Stegostoma tigrinum: one gene and its partners. The protein of the gene in region 1 interacts with the protein of each later gene in a pairwise test. Links are inferred from orthologs where the notes say so. Each region holds a gene or a part of one and is shown in the gene's direction. Other genes may lie near its edges.

Region 1 (8,069 bases):
CTTGGTGTGGCTTTTCACCTGTTTCCTACCCCATATTCTGGCCCTAGTAGTCATTAACGGCCTGTGAATAAAGTTTTGTCTTTGGATTGCTGAGCTTGCCTGTTTGTTCCTGTCTAAAATGGTGGACTGAGAAGACCATGGCTCTTGCAGCTGCTCCTGAGATTGCAGGCTGACTTCTAGATTTCTTACAGTTATTACATTTTAATTGTATATGATTTCTATTTTGATTCTTTTATAAACAAAAACGTTTTAAAAAGTGCACTTTTTTTTCAAACGGAGTTCTGTAACGGAATTTTTGGAAAGGCCTATGCATAGCTTACTTTTAGATTTTTTACATTTACTACATTTCAGTATTATAAGATTTTTAGTTTGATTTATTTTTGGTTCTTTTACAGTCAAAAACGCAAAAACAAAAAAAAAGCACATTTTTTCAGAGTTGTGTTAACAGGCCTTTTGGAGAGACATGTGGATGGCTCATTTTTCTCTAAAATTATATGCCTAAGAGGAGAGTGTTTTTTAACATTGCTGAAGAGATTTTTTTCAAATCATGGAGGACAGTTCTTTTTAAATGTAGTAGTGTTTATGGAGCTTTTGGAGAGGCCTACATGCGTAAAGTGAGATCTTTTAATCAGAAGATTGAAGTCTGTCTGCTGGACCTCTGGAAGACTCATTTCTTAATTTAATTGTTCAGCTAACTGATTTATTTTATTTAAGATTTATATGTTTTTCTTATTCCTTATTTTTTGCATGCTTAACATTAATTCTTTACATATGGAAAGGTGGTATATTTCATATATAAGGCACTATTGTAAGCTGCTACTTTTTACGCTTAATGCCATTGAGGGCATACAAGAGACACAGTGTTAGGTGGTTAATAGATTTAGAGATTCCACAGCAGGATCAGTTAGATAGATGGATGACTGTCAAGAAATTTCAGAAGTTCAGAAGTCTCCCATGGTTATTTCTCTCTCAAACAAATGCTCAGCTTTGGATGCTGTTGAAAAGGATAGTCTCTTAGACGAAAAGTAGAAGACGCAGCCAGATCATGGGCACTAAGAATCAATCTTATGTTAGGCTGGCTTTGACAAAATTTGAAAGAATAATTGTTAGAGATGACTTTCCTATAAAGGGCACAGACAGGAGATCCTGCAGCAATGAACATTAATCTATGATATAATGTTGCTTTCTTGGTGCCACGATTAAGGATGTTTTAAAATGTTTGAAGCATGTTGTTAAAAGGATAAGTGAGAAACCAGAAGTTATTGTACACATTGGTAGGAATGACAAGGTTAGGGAAAAGATCAGGGCTTTACAGGGTGAATAAGGGTTTAGATAGAAGATTACAAAACAGAACCTCAAAAGTAGTAATCTCTGGTTTACTCCCGCTGCTAGACTCAAATGAGGGAAAGAATAAAATGATGAAGGAGATAAATCAACGGCTGAAGAGGTGATGTAATGTTCAGGGATTCAGATTCTCAGATCATTGGGATCTCTCCGAAGGCAGAAAAGACCTGTTCAAAAAGGATGGGTTTCACCTGCAATGGAAAGGGACTGATATCTTACAGGGAAGATTTGCTAATTCTATTAAGAGAAACTGTAAACTATTTGGGGAGGGAGAGGGTTTGGGGGATGGGGGTGAGGCATCCTAAATAGCAGGGTAAATAGAAAGATAAATGAAGATGGTTTTGAATCTGAAAAGAACAATTGGAAAAGACAGACAAAAGCAAGTCAGAGAATGAAGTAACTGAAGAATTATTTCAATGGAAGGGGTCCTATAGGTAAGGCTAATGAACTTGGGGCATGCTTTCAACATGAGATTGGGACACCATAGCTATGACAGAAACTTGGCTGAAGGACGGACAGGACTTGCAGCTCAATGTTCTAAGTTTTAGGTGCTACAGGAAGGGAAAGAGACGTAAGAGGAGGGGGAGTGGCATTTTTGATTAAGGAAAACATTACTGCTGTAACTAGAAAAAATATTTCTGAAATATCATTCAGTGAAAATATATGGATTGAAATTAGAAATGAAAAAGGAACAATCACCTTGATGGGATTGTAATATAGACCTCCAGCAGCCAGGAAAATTAAGGAACAAATATGTAGAGACATTTCAGATGTATCTAAGAATAATAGTTATAATAATGAGATTTCAATTTTTCAAACATTGATTAGGACTACCACTGTATTAAAGGTTTGGATAGTTTAGAATGTTAAATATGTTCAAGAAAATTTTCTTTATCAATATGAAGGAGCAAAACTTGACCTTCTCTTGGATAATAAGACAGACAAGTGACTGAAATGATAGTATGGGAATACTTTGCGTCAAGTGATCATAATTTATTTGTTTTAAAATAGTTATGGAAAAGGACAAACCTTCCATAAAAATTAAAGATTTAATTGAAGAAAGGCCAATTTTAAAGATATGAGACAAGAATTTTCAAAAGTTTACTGGAGTAGACTGTTTACAAGTAAGGGGATATCTGATAATTGTGAGGTATTCAAACATGTGGTAACGAGAGGTCACAGCTATTATGTTCCTGTTAGAGTGAAAGGTAAAACTAATGGGATTAGGGAACAATGGATGAAGAAAGATGTTGAGGTCCTAGTCAAGAATAAACAAGTATCATATATTAGATATAGAAACTGGGTTCAAATGACTCTCTTGAACAGTATAAAGTATGTAGGGACATTCTTAAGAGGGATATTTAGGAAGGCAAAGACAGGATATGTGATAGCTTTGGCAAATAAAGTTAAGGATAATCCAAAAAGATTCTACAAGCCATTAACAGCAGAAGAGCAACTAGAGAGAGAGAGTAAGGCCCTTTAAAGATCAACATGGTTATCTTTGTGTTGAACCTCAGGAGATGTGAGAGATAGTAAATAAATATTTTGCATCTGTTTTTACTGTGGAGAAAAATGGAAGTTAGAGAACTCTGGAAAATAAATATTGATATTTTGAAAACAGTTCACATTACAGAATAGGAAGTGCTGGATGTCTTAGAAAATATAAAGGTGGATAAATCGCCAGGACCTGATCTAGTCTATCCTAGGATGTTGTGGGGCCCCTTGCATAAATATTTGTATCATCTATTACTGTGGGTGAGATGCCAGATGACTGAAAGTGGCTAATTTTGTGTCTTTATTTAAAAAGGGATGTAAGGGGAAGCCTGGGAACTATAATCCTGTGAGTATGACTTTGGTGGTGGGTAAGTTGTTGGAGGTGATTCTGAAGAATAGGATTTATATGCATTTGAAGTAAGTAATGATTAGGCATAGTAAGCATGGTTTTCAGTGAAATTGCACCCCACAAATTAAATTGAGTTTTTCAGGAGTGACAGTGTGTGACAAATGTGATAATGGAGAGTTGTTTTCTGGACTGTAGGCTTGTGGCCAGCAGTATTCTGCTAGATTCGGTGCTGGGTCCACTTTTGTTTGTCATTTATATAAATGATTTAGATGAAAATATAGAAGACATGGTTAGAAAGTTTATGGATGACACCAGAAATGGTGCTGTAATGCACAGTGAAGAAGGTTATCCAAGATTATAAAGTGATCTCGATCAATTGAATCAATGGGCCAAAGAGTGGCAGATGGAGTTTAATTTGGATAACTGTGAGGTTTTACATTTTGGTAAAACAAACAAGGGCAGGACTTACACAATTAAAAGTAAGGCCTTCGGTAGTGTTGTGAAACAGAGAGGCCTAGGGCTTCAGGTACATTATTCTTTGAAGTTTGCATCACATATATGGTTAAGAAGGCATTTAGCATTCTAGACTTCATTGCTCAGGTCTTTGAGTGTAGGAGTTACATTGAAGTTGTACAGTACATTGCTGAGGCCACTTCTGGAGTACTGTATCCAGTTCTTGCTGCCCTCTTGTACAGAGGATATTATCAAACTGGAGAGGGTTCAGGAGAGAGATTTACTTTCAAAGTGCAAATGCTGGCTGTTAAAGTGGCAAAAACTCACTTGAATTTTTAAAATTTTCTTCTGGATATTTTTTCTTTGTGACACCACTGCAGCCATATAGGATTTTCCAAGGTAACCACTTATGGTAACTGGGTGAATTTTGACACCAACTAGTATATAGTACCAGTTAAGGATTGTTTGCAGTAGTTCACTGCCTGTAATCCTGTCTTGGGTTTATGTAAAGATTAGTGGTAGAAGATAACAAACAAACTAGAACACAAATTGTTGGAGAAACACAGCAGATGTGGGAACATCTAGAAGAGAAAACAAGTACTGTGACCCACCTTCAGAACAATTCCGAAAAAACTCGAAAAACCCGAAATAGAAACCTTTCAGTGAAGCGTAAAAGCTCCTTTAGATTTAAAAGAAGAACTCTTAAGAAACATAAACTTATACAACAACGTGTTTTGGAAATAACTATCTAATTGGTTCCACTCCCTTATTCTTTATTCAAAGCCTTTTAAATTTGTCCTCGCTATTTATTCTATTCCCATTTAGAGATCTTTATAAAACCGCGCAGCGAAACCCGTTCCGTATTAGTCTTTTCCACCATCCTTTCAGGTAATACATTCATTCCAGACCACAACTCATCCAATATATCGTTTCTCCACTGAAGGGTATCCAATTCCAGAATGTTACATCAGTAAACAGGTCAAAAGTAAAAGTGAGATTTATTACAAATATAAAGCATGTAATCATAATGCTTTTGACGCAGTTGGGCCACTCAAAAACAGAGCACTAAACCCTCAAAATTCGTCCAAACAGAACCTTCAAAATCGAAGGTTTTGTGAAGCTGTAATAACAAAGTCGCCACTGCGTTTGTGTAAAAGAAAAGGACTGATTCGCTCACTTCCTCAAATCTCTGCAAGAGACTGACCCTTTGGCATAACGAACTGAGAGGACTCGGTGTCGTTGTCTCCCTCAATTTGTCGTGCACGGATCCGCGCGCGCGGGGTTTCGACCACCATTGGAGACGAGCAGTTGGGTGAGGGTCGCACGATAATCAAACCGAACGGACAACAACGGCTGGAGGAACTGTCAAAGTGGCGCGAACGGAAGCAAAGCGCGCGGGACGGGGGTTATTCAGTGGGGGCCGTTAGCTCGCGCCTCGGCCGGTCTGGCTGATGATGTTCGATGGAATGGATGTAATACGCGAATCTTTCGCGGATCGGCCGAGATCAGTTTCTAGCAGTGATCCTGGGCCTCGGGGGCAAAACCCGCAGAAAAGAGGTATGACTCGTAATACGGAACGGGTTTCGCTGCGCGGTTTTATAAAACAAATTGCTGACATCCTGCGTATGTATCCAGGGCTCTTTTTCCCCCTCTAACCACACCCTATATCCATCTGAGATTGGGTTCAGTACCGGAGTCCTGTTATTGAGTTGTATTTGGACCCGCCTCCCCTTTACGTTAGACATGATAACTACTGATTCGCCGAACCCTGCCCTATGGACGCCGATTAATTGCAAAATCTTTCTCATCAGCTTAGTTAAGATAACGACTAGGGCATGAATCTGGGATCTTCTGCCCTTTACAGTTCCGCTCCATCGGGGAGCTGGGAGAATTTATTCAGCACTTTACCAAAGACCTTGTGGCATAGATAGCACATTTTAAGAAAAATATTTTCTTTATTAATGTAAGCACGCATTTACGTGGAGTTTTATTTCAAAATTTTGCTGTTATGATTGATCTTTACAGTTTACATTTGTCACATATTGCTTATTTCTTTTATTTTAAATAATAATTCCTTAACTTTGCATGTACTGTATACGGTTGGTAACAACTTTGCAAATATTTATTTTCACTTTTAATATTTTTGTAGTGAAGGGAAAACCACATTTAATCGTACGGTAATTATATATACCATGATATTCTGTACCAAACCTTTGTCAAAGTGAGCTATTCTAAATAGATAATATTGCAACAATTCCAAAAATACTGCCTGAAATAAGAGCATAGATAGCACAATTTCATATTCACTATTATAAGTAAACTACCTGTGATGATGTTTTACTGATATGAGATAACATATCCTCTGCACCTGCTGTATGATCTGATTTCCAAACTAACTTGTACAGTAAGTAACTTGATAACTGAAATTGCACTTTCTAGAAGTTTGCCTTTCACTGAATGCTCCCATTCTAGATTTGTATGAATTGCTATGCAGAAAGCTGACCGTGGTAACTACTGAAGGTCACATAAAAATTTGCTTCTTGAAACCCTTGTCTTTTCAGTCCTCTCCATGCTGCTGCTCTTTATATTTGAAAGTCCACTGTCAACTTTTATTTTAGCATGAGGCAGTACTGACAAATTCCCATTCTTGAAACAGCTGCCAACTTTGATTACTTTCTCCAGTAAATTACTGGAGCTAAACTGAAAGGCATCTCTGATAATAGAAGTAGCTTTAGGAACTGAATCTTGGTTTGATTCAAACTTAGGCCTGCTTTTTAGGCTACTTCCTACTTTTCATTCACATGCTTCCCCTTGGTAGCTGTCATTTTAAATGCCGAAGTGTCAGATATTGTGAAGCCTTCCAACAGCTCTGAAAGGTAACTTGTACAACAGGAAAGGCGAATAAGGAACAAGCCAAAAGCTACTTTTGCTTTTGAGAATATATAGGGGCTAATTGAATTTCCAGCATCTAAGCACTTACAGCCAATGACTTCAACCAACTCTATTCCTTTGGAAGTGGGTGTCTAATAGGTGTTTTGTTTTGAGCTCAACGCTGCCTCACTCTGTTGTGGCGAGGTTGATGTTCCTTTTGCTCAACGTCCTCTTCTTTCTCATCAGCAGAATGTTGCTGCTCTCACAGCTCCTTAATTACCCATCCCCATTTTGCTTGGGTCAGTTGTCCAGAGTACAACGTGCAAGGATTATGTGGTGCAATCCATTATCAGAGTATTGCAAGAAATCCCCAAATGTTTTCGTGCATGGAAATTTCATCTGAGGAAGCCTAATGTCTCCCAAAGGAAGAATGGGCTGCATTGTATTTAGCTTCAGTCTGAGTCAGAGGTTACGAAATGGAGTCATCAGCCATGATGGCAAAGGGTAATTGTTGGCTCTTAATAAAGCAATTGGTCTTTGGAATGAAGCAGGAACCTGAGAATTGTCAAAGATATTGGCATCATGGCAGTTTCCAGGGCAGCAGCCTCAGACTTCCAGAATGTTTTTGCAGTGATCACAGGTGAGTTTGACATTGACTGGATGGAACCCTTTCTTATTAATGAAGTTAATCAAAGTTCATCAAAGCATAATATAACGTGAACACCCACATAAGTATACAAAATACTTATTTTTAAAAATGTATTTGTAATAAATGACTATCACATATCAGGATGCAAAATAGATTTCAGTGTTTGGGCCAGTAAAAGGAGCTGGTTTTCTCTTAAGCTGAAAGTACCAAATTGGAAAACATTCTTCAAAATATTGTCTACTTATCAGGCTTCTTTAGAATGAATAGCCAATGGACGCTAAATTATGCATTGTAGTTCAAGAATAAAATTACAACCATACCAAGAGTTTAAGGCACTCATCTATTTGTTTTGAATTAATATTAGGGATGTAAATTGTGCACTCCAGAGTAAACCCATTATGGAAATTTTAGATAGCTGGGATTAATATTAGTTTAACAAATGTTTTCATCATGATGTACTTTAAATTGGTAAAGGTATTAGAACATAGAACTGTACAGCACAGCAACGGCCTCTTCGGCCCACGATGTGCCAAACATGACACCAAATTAAATTAATTCCTTCTGCCTGCCTTTGGTCCGTATCCCTCCATTCCTTGAATATTCATGTGCTTATCTAAAAGTCTCTTATATGCCCCATTGTATCTGCCTCTACCACCATCCCTGGTGACAAATTCAAGTCTCCTACTACTCTATGTCCCTCACATCTCCTTTGAACTCCCCCCCCCCTCCCCCCGCAACCGCCTTAAATGCATGCCCCCTAGTGTTAGGCATTTTGACACTGCGAAAAAGATTCTGACTGTCAACCCTGTCTATGCATCTTGTAATTTTATAAACTTCAATCAAGTCTCCCATTAGCCTCTGCCACTCCAGAAAAACAACCAAGTTTTTCTATCCTCTCCATATAGTTGA
Region 2 (7,507 bases), on another chromosome or scaffold:
CATCTACAATCCGATCCTCCGACACTTCCGCCATCTACAATCCGACCCCACCACCCAAGACATTTTTCCATCCCCACCCCTGTCTGCCTTCCGGAGAGACCACTCTCTCCGTGACTCCCTTGTTCGCTCCACACTCCCCTCCAACCCCACCACACCTGGCACCTTCCCCTGCAACCGCAGGAAATGCTACACTTGCCCCAAGACCTCCTCCCTCACCCCCATCCCAGACCCCAAGATGACTTTCCACATTAAGCAGAGGCTCACCTGCACATCTGCCAATGTTGTATACTGCATCCACTGTACCCGGTGTGGCTTCCTCTACATTGGGGAACCCAAGCGGAGGCTTGGGGACCGCTTTGCAGAACACCTCCGCTCAGTTCGCAACAAACAACTGCACCTCCCAGTCACAAACCATTTCCACTCCCCCTCCCATTCTCTAGATGACATGTCCATCATGGGCCTCCTGCAGTGCCACAATGATGCCACCCGAAGGCTGCAGGAACAGCAACTCATATTCCCCTGGGAACCCTGCAGCCTAATGGTATCAATGTGGACTTCACCAGTTTCAAAATCTCCCCTTCCCCCACCGCATCCCTAAACCAGCCCAGTTCGTCCCCTCCCCCCACTGCACCACACAACCAGCCCATCTCTTCCCCTCCACCCACTGCATCCCGAAACCAGTCCAACCTGTCTCTGCCTCCCTAACCTGTTCTTCCTCTCACCCATCCCTTCCTTCCATCCCAAGCCGCACCCCCATCTACCTACTAACCTCATCTCACCTCCTTGACCTGTCCGTCTTCCCTGGACTGACCTATCCCCTCCCTACCTCCCCACCTACACCCTCTCCACCTATCTTCTTTTGTCTCCATCTTCGGTCTGCCTCCCCCTCTCTCCCTATTTATTCCAGTTCCCTCTCCCCATCCCCCTCTCTGATGAAGGGTCTAGGCCCGAAACGTCAGCTTTTGTGCTCCTGAGATGCTGCTTGGCCTGCTGTGTTCATCCAGCCTCACATTTTATTGGAGTCTCCAGCATCTGCAGTTCCCATTATCACTGTTGCAAATATTTAATTGGGTCATCAATGGAGGGATATTTGTAAAAGGCTGTCTGATCATTCAGGTTACAGGAATGGTCCCCACCTAATTCTTTATATAGTTTAATCTTTGATTTGATTTGATTTATTGTTGTCACATGTACCTAACTACAATGAAAAGCTTTGTTTTGCATGCAGTACAGGTAGATCATAACAAACAAGGAGAAACAGATTGTAAGATGTTTTGACAGAGTGAGGCACACAGGAATGTGGCTGTACAAAAGCAAGATCAATATTGGATTTAGAACATAGAACATAGAACAGTACAGCACAGAACAGGCCCTTTAGCCCACAGAACACACATCAACCACACGTCCCCCTACAACCACACATCAACGAATACCAGTCACGGTCGGACATAGAGCAGTTTTTCCGCCGTCTTCACCTCCATGCCTACTTCTTCAACTGGGAACCCAACCCTCCTTCCACTGACCCCTTCACCCGCTTCCAACACAAGTCCTCCTCCTGGACACCACTCCCAGGCCTCCTACGCTCCCTCGACCTCTTCATCTCCGACTGCCATCGAGACATCAACCGCCTCAACCTCTCCACCCATCTCACCCACTCCAACCTCTCCCCCGCAGAATGGGCAGCCCCTCCGCTCCAACCCCAACCTCATCATCAAACCTGCTGACAAGGGAGGTGCAGTGGTAGTATGGCGCACTGACCTCTACATCGCCGAGGCCAAACGCCAACTCTCCGACACCACCTCCTACCGTCCCCTTGATCATGACCCCACCCCCAAGCACCAAACCATCATCTCCAACACCATTCCTCATCACCTCAGAGGACCTCCCACCCACAGCCTCCAACCTCATTGTTCCCCAAACCCGCACGGCCCCTTTCTATCTCCTTCCAAAATCCACAAACCTGCCTGCCCTGGTCAGCCCATTGTTCTCAGCCTGTTCCTGCCCCACCGAACTCATCTCCACCTATCTGGACTCCATTTTCTCCCCTTTGGTCCAGGTACTCCCTACCTACGTCTGTGACACCACCCATGCCCTCCACCACCTCCAGGACTTCCAATTCCCTGGCCCCCAACAGCTCATTTTCACCATGGACGTCCAGTCCCTATACACCTGTATGCCACATGCAGACAGCCTCAAGGCCCTCCGCTTCTTCCTGTCCCGCAGGCCCGACCAGTCCCCCTCCACCGACACCCTCATCCGCCTAGTCGAACTCGTCCTCACCCTCAACAACTTCTCTTTTGACTCCTCCCACTTCCTACAGACTAAGGGGGTGGCCATGGGTACCCGCATGGGCCCCAGCTATTCCTGCCTCTTTGTAGGTTACGTGGAACAGTCCCTCTTCCGCACCTACACAGGCCCCAAACCCCACCTCTTCCTCCGGTACATTGATGACTGTATCGGCGCCGCCTCTTGCTCCCCAGAGGAGCTCGAACAGTTCATCCACTTCACCAACACCTTCCACCCCAACCTTCAGTTCACCTGGGCCATCTCCAGCACATCCCTCACCTTCCTGGACCTCTCAGTCTCCATCTCAGGCAACCAGCTCGTAACTGATGTCCATTTCAAGCCCACCGACTCCCACAGCTACCTAGAATACACCTCCTCCCACCCACCCTCCTGCAAAAATTCCATCCCCTATTCACAATTCCTCCGCCTCCGCCGCATCTGCTCCCACGATAAGACATTCCACTGCCGCAAATCCCAGATGTCCAAGTTCTTCAAGGACCGCAACTTTCCCCCCACAGTGATCGAGAACGCCCTTGACCGCGTCTCCCGCATTTCCCGCAACACATCCCTCACACCCCGCCCCCGCCACAACCGCCCAAAGACGATCCCCCTCGTTCTCACACACCACCCTACCAACCTCCAGATACAACGCATCATCCTCCAACACTTCCGCCATCTACAATCCGACCCCACCACCCAAGACATTTTTCCATCCCCTCCCCTGTCTGCTTTCCGGAGAGACCACTCTCTCCGTGACTCCCTTGTTCGCTCCACACTCCCATCCAACCCCACCACAGCCGGCACCTTCCCCTGCAACCGCAGGAAATGCTACACTTGCCCCCACACCTCCTCCCTCACCCCTATACCAGGCCCCAAGATGACATTCCACATTAAGCAGAGGTTCACCTGCACATCTGCCAATGTGATATACTGCATCCACTGTACCCGGTGCGGCTTTCTCTACATTGGGGAAACCAAGCGGAGGCTTGGGGACCGCTTTGCAGAACACCTCCGCTCAGTTCGCAACAAACAACTGCACCTCCCAGTCACAAACCATTTCCACTCCCCCTCCCATTCTCTTGATGACATGTCCATCATGGGCCTCCTGCACTGCCACAATGATGCCACCCGAAGGTTGCAGGAACAGCAACTCATATTCCGCCTGGGAACCCTGCAGCCATATGGTATCAATGTGGACTTCACCAGTTTCAAAATCTCCCCTTCCCCCACTGCATCCCTAAACCAGTCCAGTTCATCCCCTCCCCCCACTGCCCCACACAACCAGCCCAGCTCTTCCCCCCCACCCACTGCATCCCAAAACCAGTCCAGCCTGTCTCTGCCTCCCTAACCGGTTCTTCCTCTCACCCATCCCTTCCTCCCACCCCAAGCCGCACCCCCAGCTACCTACTAACCTCATCCCACCTCCTTGACCTGTCCGTCTTCCCTGGACTGACCTATCCCCTCCCTACCTCCCCACCTATACTCTCTCCACCTATCTTCTTTACTCTCCATCTTCGGTCCGCCTCCCCCTCTCTCCCTATTTATTCCAGTTCCCTCTCCCCATCCCCCTCTCTCATGAAGGGTCTAGGCCCGAAACGTCAGCTTTTGTGCTCCTGAGATGCTGCTGTGTTCATCCAGCTTCACACTTTGTTATCACTACAACCTCCAACCTGTTTGGTTTAACTACCCGCCCATCCCACTCTCCGTGCGACCGACCGCACGACAAACAAAAAATAAAATCATTCTCTCCCGGGATTGGTCCAGCTACGCAAACGTTAACCATTGGTTAAGCTTATGCGCTTTCCACCATTTAATGTTGATTGCGCCCTCTGTGATTGGACATTACAACCTATCTGGCATATAATTGGCTCTTCGTGAATGTACGACTTCGGATTGGTCCGATAATGCACAACGCGGCCGACCTCCTCATATCTGAATGGTCCACATTGTGCAACAAGGCCACATCTGATTGGTTGGTACTTCGGATGACATGCGATTGGCCCGTTCCAGCCCGCGTTTTGATTGGGTGCCGCTGCAGGTTTGGTGAGGGGGTAGGGCCCGAGCGGGATGGAGGTGAGTGAGGGGCGGGGGCAGACTAACCAACCCTCACCCTCTACCCCCCACTCCCCTTCCCAGTCTGTTACCTCGCGCACCGCCCCCTCCCTGCACCTCAGTCCTCGACCCGTCTTACAGATCCCACTCTGTCAGTGTCCCTCCCTCCCCCCCCGACTCCCCTCTTTCCCCCACCCCCCCCTCTCCCCCCCCCCCTCTCCCCCCCCTCCCCCCTCCCCTCCCTCTCCCCCCCTCCCCTCCCTCTCCCCCCCTCCCCCTCTTCCCCCCCACCCCCCTCTCTCCCCCCTCCCCTCTCCCCCCCCTCCCCTCCCCCCCACCCCTCTCCCCCCTCCCCCCTCTCCCCACCACCCCCCCTCCACCCCTCCCCTCTCCCCCCCACCCCCCTCCCCTCTCTCTCCCCCCCCTCCCCTCTCCCCCCCCTCCCCTCCCCCCCACCCCTCTCCCCCCTCTCCCCACCACCCCCCCTCCACCCCTCCCCTCTCCACCCCACCCCCCTCCCCTCCCCTCCCCTCTCCCCCCCACCCCCCTCCCCTCCCTCTCCCCCCCTCCCCTCCCTCTCCCCCCCTCCCCCTCTTCCCCCCCACCCCCCTCCCCTCTCTCTCCCCCCTCCCCTCTCCCCCCCCTCCCCTCCCCCCCACCCCTCTCCCCCCTCCCCCCTCTCCCCACCACCCCCCCTCCACCCCTCCCCTCTCCACCCCACCCCCCTCCCCTCCCCTCCCCTCCCCTCTCCCCCCCACCCCCCTCCCCTCTCTCCCCCCCTCCCCCCTCCCCACCACCCCTCCCCACCACCCCTCCCCCCCATTCCCTGTCTGTTCAATCCCCCTTTTGCCTCTATCCCCACCTCCCTTTCCTTTCCCCTTTATCCCATCCCCTTTCGTCTCTCCTTGCTGCCAACTATAGACCCACATTGTTCAAATTTTCATTCAATGTTTGAAATATTTTCCTTACAGGACCAAAGGAGATGGCCAATCGATATACAGACCAGCAAGCTCTTGGGTAATTGTCTGTAGTGGTGAATCATTTTCCAATGAGCTATACAGCACAGGAGACGATTTGACCCAACGTGTGTGCGTGCTAGCTCTCTGAAATTAGCTTCAGCCCCTGCAATTTTCCACATTTCTGCAAACATTCATGTATTCAGTTCTATTTGGAAGTTATTATTGTATCAGCCTTGCAGACAGTGTATTCCAGATCACAAGTTATTCAAAATTAAAATTCTCCTCATTCTTCCCGGGTCTCTTATGACTGATCTTAAATTTACTTGAATACACTTTGCTGCTGATTTGAACTTTAGAAGCCAAGTGGATATGAGTCTTAATGCAAGCCGTAGTCAAGTAGTCTGAAACTTCAGAGAATGTTTTGAACTGTGTGTAGCAATTGCCCAGAGTCAGCTGAGGATACTCTTCCTGAGGCACCAGCTGTCCTGAATCTGAAGTTGCATCTTGTCTCAAGGTCTGAAGGTCTTCAGGGTTCAAGCAAGATTTTGGGTTTACAGAAGTGTGTGAGAGAGAGGAAAAAAATGGAAGGCTATTTCTTCAGTGTCTCAGCTACCACAAAATGCAGCACCGACATTCCTTTGGTGTATTTGCCATGCACAATTTGGCTCTCACGTTTCCCCCTGTGGGAAAGGTGTTCCCCGAAAAGTTGACAGTCTCTCTGCGGTGAGGTGCAGGATTGGAATGCAGCAGTGAATAGGAAGGAAGAGCTGGTACATTTGTCTGAAGAAGGGCCCAGACCTGAAATCAGCTTTCCTGCTTCTTTGGTGCTGTCTGGCCTGCTGCGTTCCTCCAGCTCCGCACCTTGTTATCCCAGACTCCAGCGTCAGCAATTCCTACTATCCCTAGTATAATACAGTCAGTTTACTGCGATAACAAAGTGTGGAGCTGGATGAACACAGCAGGCCAAGCAGCATCTTAGGAGCACAAAAGCTGATGTTTCGGACCTAGACCCTTCTTCATTTTTCTGATGAAGGGTCTAGGCCTGAAATGTCAGCTTTTGTGCTCCTAAGATGCTGCTTGGCCTACTGTGTTCATTCAGCACCTCACTTTTGTTATCTCGGAATCTCCAGCATCTGCAGTTCCCATTATCTCTGATCTCAGTTTGCTGCGATGTTCAATTTTTAATGTTTAGAATTCCTGGGACAGGGCTTTGCAATGAGTTTAAATGTCAGTAATCCTGATAGAACAGTTCTTTTGAAAAATCCTAAAAGGTTGGCAATAACATGATCATGTTTTAAAAGTATATGTGATAGGTATTATGTTTCAGTTTTTAAATGTCGTTGGAATGAGCTACTGCCTAATGCACCGACCCAGTGATTTTACCTTCCCTGCTCCCTGATTACTGTCAGCTTTCACTGTGGGTTTTGAATGAAGGTTAGGATAACGTTGGTGGGGTTGATGTGGGACTGGATGAAGGTCAATCCCAACCTGCACATTGCTGAAGCCCTATAGTCAGTTCAAAGGAGCATCCTGTACAGTTTGGAATGCACATACATAGCACCTTTCATAACCTCAGGACATTGTATAATTGCATTACAGCCAGTGAAGTATGTTTTGAAGTGTAGTCACTGGGATGATACAGGAAACACAGCAGCCAATTATTCCGTAGCAAGCTCCCACAAACAACATCTGCATTTTAGCAGCATTGACTGAGGTTTAAATATTGGCCAGGCCTGCAGGGAAAACATTGCTGCTTTTCTTTGTCCTCTCAGGTGCATTATTTCAATGCGATTTCAGGCTGAAGCCTCATACAAAAGAGGGCGTCTTTGACACTGATAATGACACACACCCTCAATGTTAAACAGGACTGTTAGCCTGGGTTTTGTAGGGTATCTCATCATGGAACCATGTGTAGCCCAGTCCAGAAGGCAAATGAGTATATCAATGTGCACAACAAGTGAAAGGGAATATTGAAATTTCTGAAATAATGTTTCCTGAATGTCTGGCGAGTGTACTTTACAAGTATTTTGTTTCTTGCCTTCCTTAGATTGGTTGGTGGATAGACGGCATTGCAAGCTGAAATGGCAGAATGCGGTGTTGGTAATTCGGGAGAAAATCAACAATGCAATCCAGGATATGCCGGAGAATGAGGAAATCAAACAGCTCCTGTCAGGATCATGTCAGTGCCATTTCTGCCACGTGTCATCCCA
Region 3 (7,779 bases), on another chromosome or scaffold:
AGTCTTCAACCAATTTGATTCACTCCAATTCACATGATTCCTTCAGGGAATGGTCTTGTTGAAAATTGTAAGGATATATTCATTTTGGGCTTTTGTTTCGGATAATGGCCCTACACAATCTACTAGTAAACAAATGAATGTCTCCTCAAAAGCCAGTGTGGGAATCAGGGGAGCTGGTCTCATTACATGTTGCAGTTTAGTGACAAATCATCAAGAATGGCATGTTTTACAAAACTGCACCTCTCTATGTAAATTTGACCAGGTAAGAAAACCTGTTTATGAATAGCTTTCAGAGCCCCATATGTCCTGCCATGGGCATTTCACGTACCACTCAAAATCCCCCTATGATAGCTGAGTGATATCTCTACCTGATGAACAACGACACATTTTTCATCTGCAGGTCTGTGAGGGACTCCACTGCCTCATTCTCACTTTAAATAGCACTCTGGGTCTCCTTCAGCATCTACCTCAAGATGAATTGGCTGTGATAATTTATTTAATTCAGGATCTGCTTCTGAGTTTGAGATAGTGAATTCATTGTAGCTTCAAGGAGGTGGTCACACTGCAGGTTTAGTCATATAGATTGGTGACCACCAGGAAAGGTAGGCAAGTAATGCAAGGGTCTCCTGTGGCACCTCTCAAATAAGTTGGATACTGTTGGGGGGATAGCCTCTCAGGGGCAAAATAGCAGCAGCAGCCTGGTGTTTGGCACCACAACTGGATCTGCTGTAAAGATGGGTATGGCAAAGAATTATGATAGCGAACTGTATAGTCAAGGGCATAGACATTTCTGTAGCTGCAAACAAGATTCCAGGAATGGTGTGTTGCCTCCTTTGTGCCAGGGTCAAAGACATCCCAGAGCAATTCCTGGAAATTTTCAAAGGAAAGTGTGAGTAGCGAGAGGTTGTTGTATACATTGGAATCAATGATATAAGCACAAAAGGGGATGAGGTCCTACAGAGTGAATATAAGGAGTTAGGCAGGAGGTTAAAAAAACAGGGCCTCAAGAATAGTAATCTCTGGATTATTCCTGGTGCCAGGTGCTTGTGAGAGTAGGAGTAGGAGGATAGGGCAGATGAATGTGTGGCTGAGGACACAGGGCAGGGGGCAGAGATTCAGATTTTTGGATCATTTGGATCTCTTTCAAAACAGGAATGACTAACACAAGAGGGGCAGGTTGCACCATAATTGGAAGGTGACCAATTTGCTGGTGGGAGATTTGCGAGAGCTATTCAGGAGGGCATAAAATAGGCCGGCAGGGGTTGGGACCCTAAGCAGTAGTGAGAGAACAGAGATGGTTGAGGCTGGTACAGAAGCTAAAGAGATCAAGTTAAGTAGATAAGGCAGACAAGAGCACGACAGGGAATGAGGGAACTGCATTTATTTCAATGCAAGAGACCTGACAGGGAAAGCAGACCCGAAATGTCAACCTTCCTGCTCCTCTGATGCTGTTTGGCCTGGCTGTGTTCATCCAACTCTACACCTTGTTATCTCAGGGCATAGATGGGCACATGGGTCTGGATATTGTAACTATGACAGACACATGGCTGAGGGAGGGACAAGACTGGCAGCTCTGTTCTGGGCTGCAGATAATGTAGGAAAGAAAGAAAGGGAGATAAGAGAGGGGGAGTGGCATTTTTAGGGAAAATATCATGACACTTCTTAGACAGGATATTCCTGAGGGATTGTCCAATGAAAGTTATGTGAGTGGAACTGAGAAATAAGAAGGTGGAGATCACTGTAATGAGATTGTACTGTAACCACCACACCCACCCCCAACAGTCAGAAATTGAGGAGCAAATATGTGGGGAGATCACTGACAGGTGTAAGAATAATAGTGCTGTAATAGTGAGGGATTTTAACTTTTCAAACATTGACTGATATAGTGATAAGGGCTTGAATGGGGAAGATTTTGAAAACTTAATCAATATGTAGATGACCATACAACACAAGGTGCAAAACTTGGCCTCCTTTGGGAAATAAGGCAGGGCTAGTGGCTGATATGTTAACAGGGAAACACTTTGAGACCAGTGACCATAATTCTATTAGTTTTATTTTTGTTATAGAAAAGGATAGGCCTGATTCACATATTAAAGTTGTAAATTGGGGCAAGGTCAATTTTGATATATTAGACAGGAACTTTCAAAAGTTGATCGGGGAGGTCCGTTCATAGGTGAAGGGCTATCTGACAGGTGGGAGGTTTTCAAAAGTGAGACAACAAGAGTTCAGAGCCAGCATGTTCCTGTTGGTATGAAGGGCAAGGCTGGTAGGGGTAGGGATAGGGAACACTGGATGATTAGAGATATCAAGATTCTGCTCATGAAAAAGAAGGAGGCATATGTCAGGTATAGTCAGCTGACACCAAGTGAATCTGTGGAAGACTATGTAGCAGTACATTTAAGAGGGAAATCAGAATGACAAAAAGGGACGTCATTGTAGATTGGGTAAAGGAGAATGCAAAGACATTCTATAAGTATACAAATAAGTAACAAAGCAGAGAAGAAGGCCCCCTAAAATTCAACAGGCTGTGTATGCATAAAGACACGGGAAATGGATGAGATCCTCACCACATATTGCACTGCCATATTTACTGTGGATAAAGATATGGAAGCTCGGGAACTCGGGGATGTAAACAGTGATGTCTTGAAAAAAGGTCCAGCATTACAGAAGAGGAGATGCTGGAGATCTTAAAATGTATAAAGGTAAATAAATCCCTGGGACCTCATCAAGTACATTACGTTAAATTAGATTCCCTACAGTGAGGAAACAGTCCCTTTGGCCCAACAAGTCCACACCGACCCTTGAAGCATCCCACCCAGACCCATCCCCCTATGACCCACACACTTCTGAACACTACGGGCAATTTGGCATGGCCAATCCACCTAACCTGCACATCTTTGGACTGTGGGAGGAAACCGGAGCACCCGGAGGAAACCCACGCAGACACGGGGAGAATGTGCAAACTCCAAACAGACAGTTACCCGAGGTTGGAATCGAATCTGTGTCCCTGGTGCTGTGAGGCTGCAGTGCTAACCACTGAGCCACCGTGCCACCCTCAGGACATTGTGAGAAACTTGGGAAGAAATTGCAGAGTCCATAGCAGAGATCTTTGTACCATCAACAGCCATTGGTGAGGTGCTGGAAGACTGAAGGTTGGTTAACGTGCTACTAGTTGAACAGTAACTATAATAACTAGTTACAAAGGCTGCAAGGAAAATCCAGTGAACTGTAGACTGGTGAGCCTCACGTCAGTGGTGGGTAAGGGATTTTGAGAGAAGGATCTACATGCGTACGTAAAACCGAGACTAGATTACCGAGGAAGATGCTGGATAGGCTAGGACTTTTTTTTCCCCCTGAAGTGTAGGAGGCTGAGGAGTAAGTTCGTCGAGATCATAGAAGCGTGGGGCGCATAGATACGGTGAATAGTACCAAGTACCCTCTGAATTCTTTCTCTGCTAATCTGACTATCCCAATCTACATAAAAATTAAACTGACCTCAAAGGCTAAAGTCACTAAAGGTTGGTACAATGCGTTTGTTACTTACCCTTATTATTTCCGGATTTATTCAGTGCAAACGTATCGCTACTGTTAGATTGCCTATAGACCATTCCGCCCAGTGGCTTCTTTTCCCCTTGTTTTCTTTTAACCTGAACCTATACTGATTCTACGCACAGAAAAAGAATAGACAAAAAGTTCAGAGGGGAATAGAAGAGGAAAAACGAACTTTAAGTTTAAAAGAAAAATCAGGAACAAACTTGAAGACCGACTATCGGCTTAAGGTTCACCATCAGGGCTCTATAGTTAAACCTTCAGTTGTGATCATGAGAGTTGTGTGCCTGCTCGAATATCACGTTTGTCGAGATCTTTTGTGTAAAGGAGAAATTTGCCTCGCTTTTCCAAAAACACTCACAAAAGGTCATCATCACTCTTGGATAGAGACAAGAACATTCTCTTGGTTGAGATAGCAAGAATTGCAGATTCTGGAGACGGTGGTAACAAGGTGTAGAGCTGGTGAATCACAGCGGGCCAGGCAGCATCACAGGAGCAGGAAAGTTGACCTTTCTGGTCGGGACCCTTCTTCGGAAACAGTCTCTTAGTGCTCAGTGATAAAAAATAATGGGAACAGCAGAGGCTGGAGAAAGTCCCTGGGCCCGCAACCCTACCCATATCACCATAGGTCCGCCCCTGCACATGTAGCTCCGCCCTAGAGCTTTTGGCCTCGCCCTTGGGCAAGTTGTTCCGCCCCGGTGTCGTTGCGAATGCCCTTGACCACGTAGCCTCGCCTCTGAGCATGCAGCACCCCATTATACTTGTAGCCCCGCCCCTGATCTTGTGACTACGCCCCTGGCAGTGTAGCCCCGCCCCAAACAACGTCATCCTGTCTCGCCCCGGGCATGTAGCCCCGCCCCTGGGCTTGTGGGTCCGACCCTAGCTGTGTAGCCCCGCCTCCTGGACATGTAGCCCCGCCCCCTTGGAGAGGCCCTTCTCCTCCGGAAAGCCCTCGATCTTCGGAAGCGCGCCCCGGGCCGTAGAGGCAGTTTGGCCTTGTCTTGGCCTCACTTTGGGCCCCGACTCCTACCGCAGACCTTCACCCTTTCTTTCCTCGGCTGCATTTCTGTGATCGGGTTCCTCCCCCAGCTCTCGGCTGGTGCTGTCACTGGGGACAGGATGAGAGCTGGGACAGGGGACCGGCTTAGGAGGTTGTCGGTGCTGGAGCATCCTCGGAGCTCAAGAGTTTGTGAGGCCGGCGCTCGCCCTCTCCTCACCCATTCGATCTTCACCGATCCGGCGGCGGGGGCTGAGGGGAATCAATGTGTGTGGATGAGGCTTGGGAAAACGGGTGTGGACGTTATAGAGAGGAGAGAGACGACCAAACGAAGATGTGGTGATGGAGAAATGTGTCCTTCCACGATGATGAATGAGGTAGGGTTGAGGATCAAGGATAGGGAGAGGTGAGTGGAAGATCGGGATGGCTGAAAGCGTGTGATGGTGACCGAATGGCACTGGTGTTTGGGATCACTGTTGTTGAATATCAGATGTTGAGTTTGGGTATGTGTGGAGCAGGGTGGGTGCAAATCTGTGACCCTCTCAGTAAACATTCTTGTGGGGATGAGGACCATAAAATGAGAGTCTCAAAGTTGACGTAAAATTCAGACATGCTTGGGTCTCAAACTGGAATCTTCAGATCTGAAACTAATTGCATTGATATCAGGGATGAATGAACATTTGTCGATAAGAAATTAGATTAACGTGTTTTATAGTAGATAGGAGATTTTTCATTCTTTTTAATTAATAGAATTTGGCTGTCACCAACCAGCACTTATTACCCAGCTATACCTGCCCTTGAAAGTTGGTGTTGAGTTGCCTTCTTGCACTATCACAAACTATTTGCTTTATGTACTCATATAATGCCATAAGGGATGGAACTTTAGGGATTTTAATCCAGTGACATTGAAGGAATGACAATATAGTTCCAAGTCAGGATAGTGAATGGCTTGGAGGGGAATATGCAAGTGGTGGTGATCCCAACTATGCTGCCTTTGCCCTTCTAGATGATAGTGTTATTGGGTTTGGAAGGTGCTATTGGAGGATATTTGGTGAATTTCTGTAGTAAATGTTGTAGATAATATGCACAGTTGGTGGTGTGGGGAATGGATGTTTGTGAATGCGGTGTCATTCAAGTGGGTTATTTTGTCCTGGATGGTGTTACCTTCATGGCTGTTGTTGGAGCTCCACTCATCCAAGCAAGTGGGGATAATCCATTACATTCCCGATTTGTGCCTTGTAGATGCCTAGTAGATGATGGAGAGAGAGATAACAAGCTGTGGAGCTGGATGAATACAGCAGGCCAAGCAGCATCAGAGGAGCAGGAAGGCTGACATTTCGGGCCTAAACACTTCTTCAGAAATGGGGCAGGAAAGGGGGTTCTGAAATAAATAGGGAGAGAGGGAGAGGCAGATAGAAGATGGATAGAGGAGAAAATAGGTGGAGAGGAGACAGACAAGTCAAAGAGGCAGGGTTGGAGCCAGTAAAGGTGAGTGTCGGTGGGGAGTTAGAGAGGGGATAGGTCAGCCCAGGGAGGACGGACAGGTCAAGGGGTGGATGAGGTTAGTAGGTAGGAGATGGGTATGGGTCTTGAGGTGGGAAGAGGGCATAGGTGGGTGGAAGGACAGGATAGGAAGGCAGGGACAAGCTGGGCTGGTTTTGGGATGCAGTAGGGAGAGTGGAGATTTTGAAGCTTATGAAGTCCACATTGATATCTCTGGGCTACAGGGTTCCCAAGCAAAATATGAGGTGCTGTTCCTGCAAACTTCGGGTGGCATCATTGTGGCACTGCAGGAGGTCCAGGAAGGACATGTCGTCAAAAGATTGGGAGGGTGAGTTGAATTGGATCATGACTGGGAGGTGCAGTTGGTGAGTGCAAACTGAGTGTAGATGTCCCGCAAAGCAGTTCCCAAGCCTCCGTTTGGTTTTCCCAATGTAGAGGAGGCCACATCAGGCACAGCAGATACAGCATACCACATTAGCAGATGTGCAGGTGAACATCTGCTTGATGTGGAAGGTCTTCTCGGGCCTGGGATGGGGCTGAGGGGCGACGTGTAGGGGCAGGTGCAGCACTTCCTGCAGTTGCAGGGAAAAGTGCCGGGTGTGATGGGGCTGGAGGGGAGTGTGGAGTGGATAAGGAGTCACGGAGAGAGTGGTCCCTCCAGAAAGCAGATAAGCGTGGGGAGGGAAAATGTCTTTGGTGGTGGGGTCGGATTACAGATGGCGGAAGCGTTGGAGGATGATGCGTGGGTTGGGTGGTACGTGAGGACGAGGGGAATTCTTTTTTTAGTTGTTATTGCGAGGATGGGGTGTGAGGGATGAGTTGTGGGAAATGTGGGAGACACGGTCAAGGGCGTTCTTGACCACTGAGGAGGTGAAGTTGTGGTCCTTATAAAACGAGGACATCTGAGATATTCGAGAGTGGAATGTCTCATTCCTGGGAGCAGATGCAGCAGAGGCGAAGGAATTGGGAATAGGGGATGGCATTTTTGCAGGGAGATGGGTGGGAGGAGGTGTATTTTAGGTAGCTGTGCGAGTCAGTGGGCTTGAAATGGGTATCAGTTTCCAGGTGATTGCCAGAGATGGAAACAAAAAGGCCCAGAAAGGAGAGAGAGGTATCAGAGATGGTCCAGATGAATGTAAGGTTGGGGTGGAAGGTTTTGGTGAAATGGATGAACTGTTCGAACTCCTCGTGGGAGCACGAGGCGGCGCCGATATAGTCATTGATGTAATGGAGGAAGAGATGGGGTTTAGGGCCAGTATAGCTACGGAAGAGGGGTTGTTCCTCATAACCTACAAAGAGGCAGGCATAGCTTGGGCCCATGTGGGAATCCATGGCCACCCCCTTAGTCTGTAGGAAGTGGGAGGAATTGAAAGAGAAGTTGTTAAGGGTGAGGATGAGTTCACCTAAGCAGATGAGGCTGTCAGTAGAGTGGGACTGGTCGGGCCTGCAGGACAGGAAGAAGAGGAGGGCCTTTAGGCCATCTGGATAGGGAATGCAGGTGTATAGGGACTGGATGTCCATGGTAAAGATGAGGTGTTGGGTACCAAGCAGTTGGAAGTTTTGGAGGAGGTGGAGGGCGTGGGTGGTGTCACTGACGTAGGTGGGGAGTTGCTGGACCAAGGAGGAGAAAATGGAGTTGAGATACGTAGAGATAAGTTCGGTGGGTCAGGAGCAGGTGGAGACAATGGGTTGACCAGGGCAGTCAGGTTTGTGGATTTTGAGAAGGAGAT
Region 4 (8,183 bases), on another chromosome or scaffold:
TCCATCTTCGCTCCAATGAGAAAAGCTTGAGTTCCCTCAATCTTCCCTCATAACATCTGCCGTCCAGTCCAGGCAGCATCCTAATAAATCTCTTCTGCACCCTCTCAAAAGCTTCCACTTCCATTCTATAATGACGCGATCAGAACTGAACACAATATTCCAAGTGTGGTCTAACCAGAGTTTTATAGAGCTGCAGCGTAACCTCGTGGCTCTTAAACTCAATTCCCCCGCCAGTGAAAGCCAAGAAAGTACACCTTCTTAACAACCCTATCAACTTGGTAGCAACTTTGAGAGATCTATGGATGTGGACCCCAAGATCCCTCTGTTCCTCCACACTGCCAAGAATCCTGCCATTAACCCATTATTCTGCATTCAATTTTGAACTTCCAAATGAATCACTTCACACTTTTCCAGGTTGAATTCCATCAGCCACTTGTTTGTCCAGCTCTGCATCCTGTCAATGTCCCGTTGTAACCTACAACAGCCCTCCACATTGTCCACAACTCCACCGACCTTTGTGTCATCAGCAAACCTGCTAAGCCACCCCTCCACTTCCTCATCCAAGGGTCATTCATAAAGATCACAAAGAGCAGAGGTCCCAGAACAGGTCCCTTTGGAACACCAGTAGCACCAAGCTCCAGGCTGAATACTTTCCATCTACTACCACCCTCTGTCTTCTATTGGACAGCCAATTTTGTATCCAGACAGCCAGATTTCCCTGGATCTCGTGCCTCCTTACTTTCCGTATGAGCCTATCATGGGGAAGCTTATCCAATGCCTTGCTAAAATCTATATACACCACATCCACTATTTGATCTTCATCAATGTGTTATGTCACATCCTCAAAGAATTCCATAAGGCTTGTGAGGCATGACCTGCCCCTCACAAAGCCATGCTGACTATTTCTAATCAAAACTGTGCTTTTCCAAATGATCATAAATTCTATCTCTCAGAATCCTCTCCAATAATTTGCCCATCACAGAAGTAGGACTGACTCATCCGTAATTCCCAGGATTATCTCTATTCCCTTTCTTGAACAAGGGAATAACATTTGCCACCCTCCAATCATCTGGTAGTACTCCAGTAGACAGTGAGGACGAAAAGATCATTGCCAAAAGCACAGCAATCTCTTCCCTCGCTTCCCATATCAACCTTTGGTATGTACCATCAGGCCCAGGGGACTTATCTATCCTCATATTTTTCAAAATTTCTAGCACATCCTCCTTCCTAACATCAACCTGTCCAAGCATATCAGCTTATTTCGTGCTGGCATCACAAACTACAAGGTCCCTCTCACTGGTGAATACTGAAGCAAAATATTCATTAAGGACCTCCCCTACCTCCTCTGACTCCATGCACAAGTTCCCTCCACTGTCCCTTTGGCCATCCTCTTGTTCCTCACATAAGTATAGAATGCCTTGGGGTTTTCCTTAATCCTATCCACAAAAGCTTTTTCATACCCTGTTCTAGCTGTCCTAAGTCCATTCTTCAGTTCCTTCCTGGCTACCTTGTAAACCTCTAGAGCCCTGTCTGATCCTTGATTTCTCAACGTTAAGTAAGCTTCTTTCTTCTTCTTGACTAGATGTTCCACATGTCTTGCCCTCCTTTCCTTGCCTCAGTGGGACAAACCTCTCCAGTACCTGTAGCAACTGCTCCCTAAACAACCTCCACATTTCTGTTGTGTATTTCCCTGAGAACATCTGTTCCCAATTTATGCTCCACAGTTCTTGCCTAATAGCATTGTAATTCCCCTTCTCCCAATTAAATACTTTCCCATACCGTCTGCTCCTGTCCCTCTCCATGACTATAGTAAAGGTCAGGGAGTTGTGATCACTATCACTGAAATGCTCTTCCACCGAGAGATTTGACACCTAGCTTGGTTTGTTGCCAAGCAATAAATCCAAAATAGCCTCCCCTCTAGTTGGCCTATCTACATATGGAGTCAGAAATCCTTCCTGGACACACCTGACAAAGTCTGCTCCATCTAAACCATTTGCACTTGGAGGTTCCAGTTGATATTAGGGAAGTTGAAGTCACCCATGACAACATCCCTCTTACTTCTGCACCTTTCCAAAATCTGCCTCTCAATCTGTTCCTCAGTGTCTCTGTTGCTATTGGGGTGTCTATCGAAAACTCCCAATAAAGTGACTGCTTCTTTCCTGTTTCTGATTTTCACCCATACTGACTCAGTAGACAAACCCTCTTCGATGATCTCCCTTTCTGCAGCTGTGATACCATACTTGATTAGCAATGCCACACCCCAACCTCTTTTATCTCCATCCCTATTTCTTTTGCAACATCTAAACCCCGGAACATCCAACAGCCATTCCTGCCCTTGTGTTATCCATGTATCTGTAATGGCCACAACATCGTACCTCCAATGACAGGTATTGATGGAGGTGATCATGAGAATATCTTCCACATAGCAGACATGTCTAATACAGGAGGCACATGTTTATGGCAAGAAGTAAACAGCTTAGGAGAGATCTGAGAATTTTTTTCACCCAGAGGATGCTAGAAATATGGAACATGCTGCCTCAGAGGATGGTGGCACACAACATTTAAGAAGCATCGGGGTGAGTTCTTAAATGCCAGGGCATAGTAGGAACTGAGTGCAAGTAAATGGGATTAGTGTAGTTTGAGTTTTGATGTTTAGTATAGCCAGGTTGGACTGAAGGGCCTGTATGTATGACAAATCACTTTATAGGCAATGAATAATTGAAAATAGGTTGCTTTCAGCACAGCCAACATATTTCAAGACAGGACCTGGGGTTTGAAAATAGGTAATAGACAAGAAAGGGGGTGTTCAGGTTCCAAAACTGTTCAACTTGATGTAGGGTGCCTTAGCAGAGCTGAGGTGTTATTCCTCAAGTGTTGAGCTTTGCTGGAGCACTGCCACAGGCCTGATACAGAAATGTTGGTATGGGAACATGGTGGTGTATTAAAGTGGCAGGCAATTGGAAGCTCCTGGTCATTTTTGTGTTTTGTTGTGAAGGTGGGGGAGACAATAGTGTAGTGGTATAATCACCAAACTATTAATCCAGAGACACAAGTAATGTTCAGGGACCTGGGTTCACACCTTATCACAGCAAATTGTGGAATTGAATTCAATAAAAAGCAAAACTGGCATTAAGATTTTAATGATGGCTATGAAACCATTGTTACTTGACAGGAAAAACTCATCTAGATGCCCTTAAAGGAAGGAAACTGTTGTCCTTGATAATAAAATGTGAGGCTGGATGAACACAGCAGGCCAAGCAGCATCCTGAGATGCTGCTTGGCCTGCTGTGTTCATCCAGCCTCACATTTTATTATCTTGGAATTCTCCAGCATCTGCAGTTCCCATTATCTCTGAAACTGTTGTCCTTATCTGCTTAAATATGACTCCTGACCCAGAACAATGTGATGCCCTCTTAACTGCCCTCTGGTCTAGCGTGCTCTTATAAGCTGCTTTGTGGGCCTTTTTTGGTCTTTATATTTGTCCAATTCTGTGGAATCTGTACTTTCTATGTGTTTTTATAAGCCCCTTTTAATTTTATGTTGCTCCTTACCTCCTTAACTGTCCATGGTTGTGTTTTTTTTAATGAGGTGTAGCTTTTCCTTTATACGCATATAAATTGCTTCTGAATTGCAGTAAATGTTTCTTTGAATGCCTTCCTCTGTTCTTTGGCTGTTTTACGTAGTAACAGAACTTCCCACTTCACTGTGGATAGTCTCTGCCACATCCCTTTAAAATCTATCTTATGTAAATCCAAAATTCTAGTATCCAATCTTTGCTTATCTCTTACAAACACTACATGAAACTCAAATGTGTTATGATCACTATTTGGCAAATGCTCACGAACAACCAGGCCACTAATTAAATGAGACTCATTTCTTGTTACTAGATTCAATATTGTTTGTTCCATTGTTGCATCCAAGACATATTGACATAGGATACTATCTCAAAACTATCTCGAAATTCACAACCTTTCTGGCAGGTGCTTGTCTGTCTCTCCCAGTCTATCTTGATCAAAGTCCCACACTAATACTACTCTGCCTTTGCTACATAGTTGCCAAATTTGAATATTTATACAATCTAGCACTTCTGAGCTGCTATCAAGTGATCTATATATGACACCTATTGTAGCTTTAGTTCCTTTAGGGTTCCTCAGTTCTTTTCATTTTTTTGTTCTATATTCATCTATGGGATGTTGGGTTCACTGGTGGGCTAGCATTTACTGACCATCCCTAGTTGCCTTTGAGGAGGTGGTCAGAAGCAACCCATACTGATCTTACCAGCATCCAGCCCTTATCCATTAGTCTGAGCATCATTTATTTTATTTCCCTGGATGTGAGAAGCAAGGGTGAAGCGGAATTTATCAAAACTTACTAAGCACACGTGGATAAGTGCTGGAATAATCTTAAAAGGGGTAGGGAAAAATTGTCAGAGCATTGGGATTGAATGGATATGGCTCTTCGAGTGAGGTGGCATTGGAATGCATGCCAAAGGGACAGATTTAGTACAGAATCTGAAAAATTAAGTACCACAGAGGGCTATTACGACTGGGTTATTAAATGTATTCGTGGCTGAGATAAATTTTCATCAGCAACGGAATCAAGGGTTATGAGGATAAAGCAGGAAAGTGGAATTGAGGATTATCTGATCAGCAGAGAAACTTGATGAGCTCAAAGGCCTACTTCTTCTGGGTCTTATGGCTTTATTTCTGTGCTATAAAATTATCCCTAGGGGTTTTCGTGGAGGTAGATAGCATCCCAGAGTGCACTGTATGAGGGGAGGGTAAGTGGATGATGATTCTCAATGGGCAAATCACTCGTCAGATTGAAGGGTTAGAGAGAGAAAGATATACATCTTCCTTGAGAAAGTGTAACTTGAACTCGGGCTTACTCGCTCCGAGGTCGAGATACTAGCACTGCACCACAAGAGCCCTGAAAGAGAAAGTGCCTTCAGCAGCTATCAAGGTTGGTTGTGCACGACGCCAAGACCAAGTTAGACAGAGCAGCGGGGGCGGGCGCGTGCGCGTTGGTGTGGCGCAGCCTCGATCGTACGGAAAGCGGTCAACACGGTCACTCCCGCCTCACAGCGAGGGAGTAAGGTGTTGGGCTGCACATTAGTCTCTAATTGTCTATGTTTTTTGTAAAAAAAAATGTTCTGATCCGGTACAGCGGAGTACTTTTCTTCATCGAAGAACATAAAACCATCGAAGAGTTTAAGGGAAAATGTTGAGGGCTTCATGGAAAGTAGCTCCGCCGCTGAAGGTAGGAAAGACCGGGCGAGACGGACCGATTCTGACATTAAACAGGCCTGACAGAAGATATTTCCTTTTGTTGCTGTCTCTAGAGTGGCCTTGCCTAGGTTCACCGCTTCCGTTCGACGGTGAACCATTGACCACAGAGAGAAACGGGCTGGTTTTGGGGTGTGGGGAGAGGAGCTAGAATCAGGCCGTTAGTTCAACCTACCTCAGTTGTCCGGGTGAGGTGGCGATTGACGTGAGTTTGCACCAATCGGCAGAGGAGTTACAGACTACCGGCCAATCAGCAATGAAAAGGCGGGTGGTGGCCCGGGGAGAAATCAAGCTCGGTTGAGCAACCATGACACGAGTGGGAAATGCAGGTTTCTTGATGGGGAAAAAAGAGGAAAAGCCAGACTTTATTTATCGCTTAAATTAAAGACGCATTTGCTGTCGTACGTCTTTTATTCTCTTCCCACCCCCTTAATCTGGTGACGAAGAGGAACGCGAGACTCTTAAATGTTATCTGATTTTTACAGAGAAAACGACGTGACCTTGTCCATGAATATAGTAACGTCTTGTATAGTGACCAGGAAAAAGCATGAGCCCATTTTGTTTTAAGACTTTTCAGTTCCTGATTTCCCATGTACTGCAATATATTAGTTTAATATGTGAAATCACGGATCTCAGAATGCCAAAGCATTCTTCAAAGAGTTTGGAAATCTACTGAATATATTTCAGAGTAATGGTATTTTCTTTGAAAGCTATTTCTTTTGTGAATTGAAGACTGAGACCTACATTGAAAATATTATGTGTAGGACAAGTCAAATCAGCACATGGCTTCGGTAAAGCTTTTGTTTAAAGGTATTTACATTGTTTCCCTCCTTCCACAATGTTTAGCCTTATCACTGTTGTTCTTAATGTAATTCTCTTATGTGCAGCAGAGAAAAAATGATAATAATGTACCATCAGTGTAACATTAGTCTAATTGTGAAGTTGACTTTTGCCTAATGGGCCAGAGTAAATTGAATATGCCTGGTGATCGATGGGATTTTCAATAAGGGCTGTTGTGGTGTGGTGGTAGTGCCTCTACTTCTGGGCCAGAAAGTTTGAGTTCAAGTAGTACTTGGCACAGCATTGTGTCATAACATGTCCAACAATGTTGATTAAAACAATAGTCATAAATGGTCTACATAAGTAACCATGTAAGTAATGTTCCTAAAGTAAAATACTGCAAATGCAATTGGCCTGAAAACGGCAAAGGCTGGGAAAACGCAACAGGTCTGTGGAGGTACGGTTAAGTTTTCAGGATGTGAGGAACAAACTATCACTTCAAGTTTAATTTATATTTTGTATTTTTTGATAGGAAGTTTTAGTTTCATTGTGAGGGTTTTGTGGGCTTTGTACCTGGAAATTTGGCAGCCTTTTTCTATACATCCATTTGTGATGTGGTTTTACAATCTTTACAGTGAACAGATGGGGGATTGGTTGTTCAATGCATTTGTTTTAAAAAAAAGACAAAAATTGTCCTCCAGCAATAAGGTTTCAGGTTGTGGTAGAAATTGGAAACAGGAATATTAAATACTCTAGTAAGCAATCCTGCAGCACTGCTGACAACTGAGTTTACAGAAACTCCAATTTCTGTAGATAGTATTTAGTTTACAATTTATTTAGGTGTTTCGGTAGGGATACTATCTGCAGAAAAGCATCAACAGAATGCCCTGGAATTTACCAGAAGGAAACAGGTTGCAGTTGTGCCAGTTTGCACAAGCAGTCAAGCATGGAGATGGTGGTGAATCTTTGAGATTTGCCATTGCTGGAATAAAAAGAATATTGTAAATGCAGAGTAATTTTGATGTTACTGAAACTTTTGTGGAATGTTATTTAGTGTTGTATGGTTTGTTACTCCCTTGTTAAATGTACACTTGTGAAAGTGTTCAGTGCTGGACCTCCACTTTCTAAACAAAAAGAACAAAGTTAGGATCTCAAGCTACATTTTCCTCTGGAATCTGACTTTTTAACATGTTAACATTGCAGGATCATAACAGGGTTGACTTTTCTTCAGAAATGAGAAGAAATAGACTTGAGTTTTTAAGCTGATAATGTTTCATACTTTGCAGTTGGTGCCATGTACATTGCATGGTTTGGATTTGTAATTTGAATCTGCAATACAAAATGATCACACTTACTTTGTATAGTTCTTAGTTCTATCAAGTGGATGTAGATATTTTTCAGAGCATTAATTAATTACAACATTAGTTGTTTGTACCATCTGTCTTTGTCTGTCTTCCGTAATTACGACTGTGCCTGGGTGTCCTTGGAGGAGGAGCATGCGGTGTTGGCTGACACATTTGAAGCTTTGTGCAACCTGTGAAAGTCTGTGAGATTCTTAGAAGACGTGACAACATAGATACTGCAAGGTTGTTTCCCATTTTGCAAGAGTCTACAACCGGAGGGCAAAATTTCAGTGAAGGATCACCCATTTAATAAAAATGCGGAGGAATTTCTGATGGGCGTTGTGAATCCGGTATTGTGGTTGGCTGGCTTGCCGAGCTGGTTCGTTGTTCCAAAGATGTTTCATTACCCTGCTGGGTAACACCATCAGTGCAGCCCCCGATGAAGCGCCTGGTGTGTTTGTCCCACTTGGTTTTTAAACTCTGGAGTCGGTTGAGCTGGATTGCCTCACTTTCGGTTTGCTTTCGTAGTGGAGTGTATATGGGGTCGAGTTCTGTGTGTTTATTGATGGCTTTCTTCGTGGAGTACCAGGCTTCCAGGAATTCCCCTGCCTGTCTCTGCTTAGCTTGTCCCAGGATTTTGGTGTTGTCCCAGTCAAATTGGTGGTTCTCCTTATCCATGTGGATAGAGATGACTGGGTATTAGTCGTGTCTTTTTGTAGCCAGTTGGTGTTCGTGTATCGATGTTAGTTTCCTTCGTGTTAGTTCGATGTAGTGC

What was found.
Region 2: the proteins of disc1 (region 1) and cdk5rap3 interact in a two-hybrid assay, tested with the Homo sapiens proteins (2 studies listed by BioGRID and IntAct). The link is inferred for Stegostoma tigrinum from reciprocal best matches to the Homo sapiens genes DISC1 and CDK5RAP3.
Region 3: the proteins of disc1 (region 1) and KAT8 regulatory NSL complex subunit 1-like interact in a two-hybrid assay, tested with the Homo sapiens proteins (2 studies listed by BioGRID and IntAct). The link is inferred for Stegostoma tigrinum from reciprocal best matches to the Homo sapiens genes DISC1 and KANSL1.
Region 4: the proteins of disc1 (region 1) and immt interact in binary tests that used the Homo sapiens proteins (3 or more experiments, as listed by UniProt). The link is inferred for Stegostoma tigrinum from reciprocal best matches to the Homo sapiens genes DISC1 and IMMT.

Annotation. Positions count from the first base shown.
Region 1 is NC_081357.1:97,266,684-97,274,752, forward strand, and holds the start of disc1 (disrupted in schizophrenia 1 protein), read left to right. Parts: upstream 1-4,842; 5' UTR 4,843-5,091; coding exon 5,092-5,197; intron 5,198-8,069. UniProt on the Homo sapiens protein: Involved in the regulation of multiple aspects of embryonic and adult neurogenesis. Required for neural progenitor proliferation in the ventrical/subventrical zone during embryonic brain development and in the adult dentate gyrus of the hippocampus.
Region 2 is NC_081384.1:3,047,834-3,055,340, forward strand, and holds the start of cdk5rap3 (CDK5 regulatory subunit-associated protein 3), read left to right. Parts: upstream 1-4,269; 5' UTR 4,270-4,353; coding exon 4,354-4,359; intron 4,360-5,309; coding exon 5,310-5,355; intron 5,356-7,344; coding exon 7,345-7,476; intron 7,477-7,507. UniProt on the Homo sapiens protein: Substrate adapter of E3 ligase complexes mediating ufmylation, the covalent attachment of the ubiquitin-like modifier UFM1 to substrate proteins, and which is involved in various processes, such as ribosome recycling and reticulophagy (also called ER-phagy).
Region 3 is NC_081384.1:40,720,932-40,728,710, reverse strand, and holds the start of KAT8 regulatory NSL complex subunit 1-like, read left to right. Parts: upstream 1-4,488; 5' UTR 4,489-4,923; exon of another isoform or gene 4,924-4,952; intron 4,953-7,779. UniProt on the Homo sapiens protein: Non-catalytic component of the NSL histone acetyltransferase complex, a multiprotein complex that mediates histone H4 acetylation at 'Lys-5'- and 'Lys-8' (H4K5ac and H4K8ac) at transcription start sites and promotes transcription initiation.
Region 4 is NC_081354.1:168,485,674-168,493,856, reverse strand, and holds the start of immt (MICOS complex subunit MIC60), read left to right. Parts: upstream 1-5,028; 5' UTR 5,029-5,220; coding exon 5,221-5,259; intron 5,260-8,183. UniProt on the Homo sapiens protein: Component of the MICOS complex, a large protein complex of the mitochondrial inner membrane that plays crucial roles in the maintenance of crista junctions, inner membrane architecture, and formation of contact sites to the outer membrane.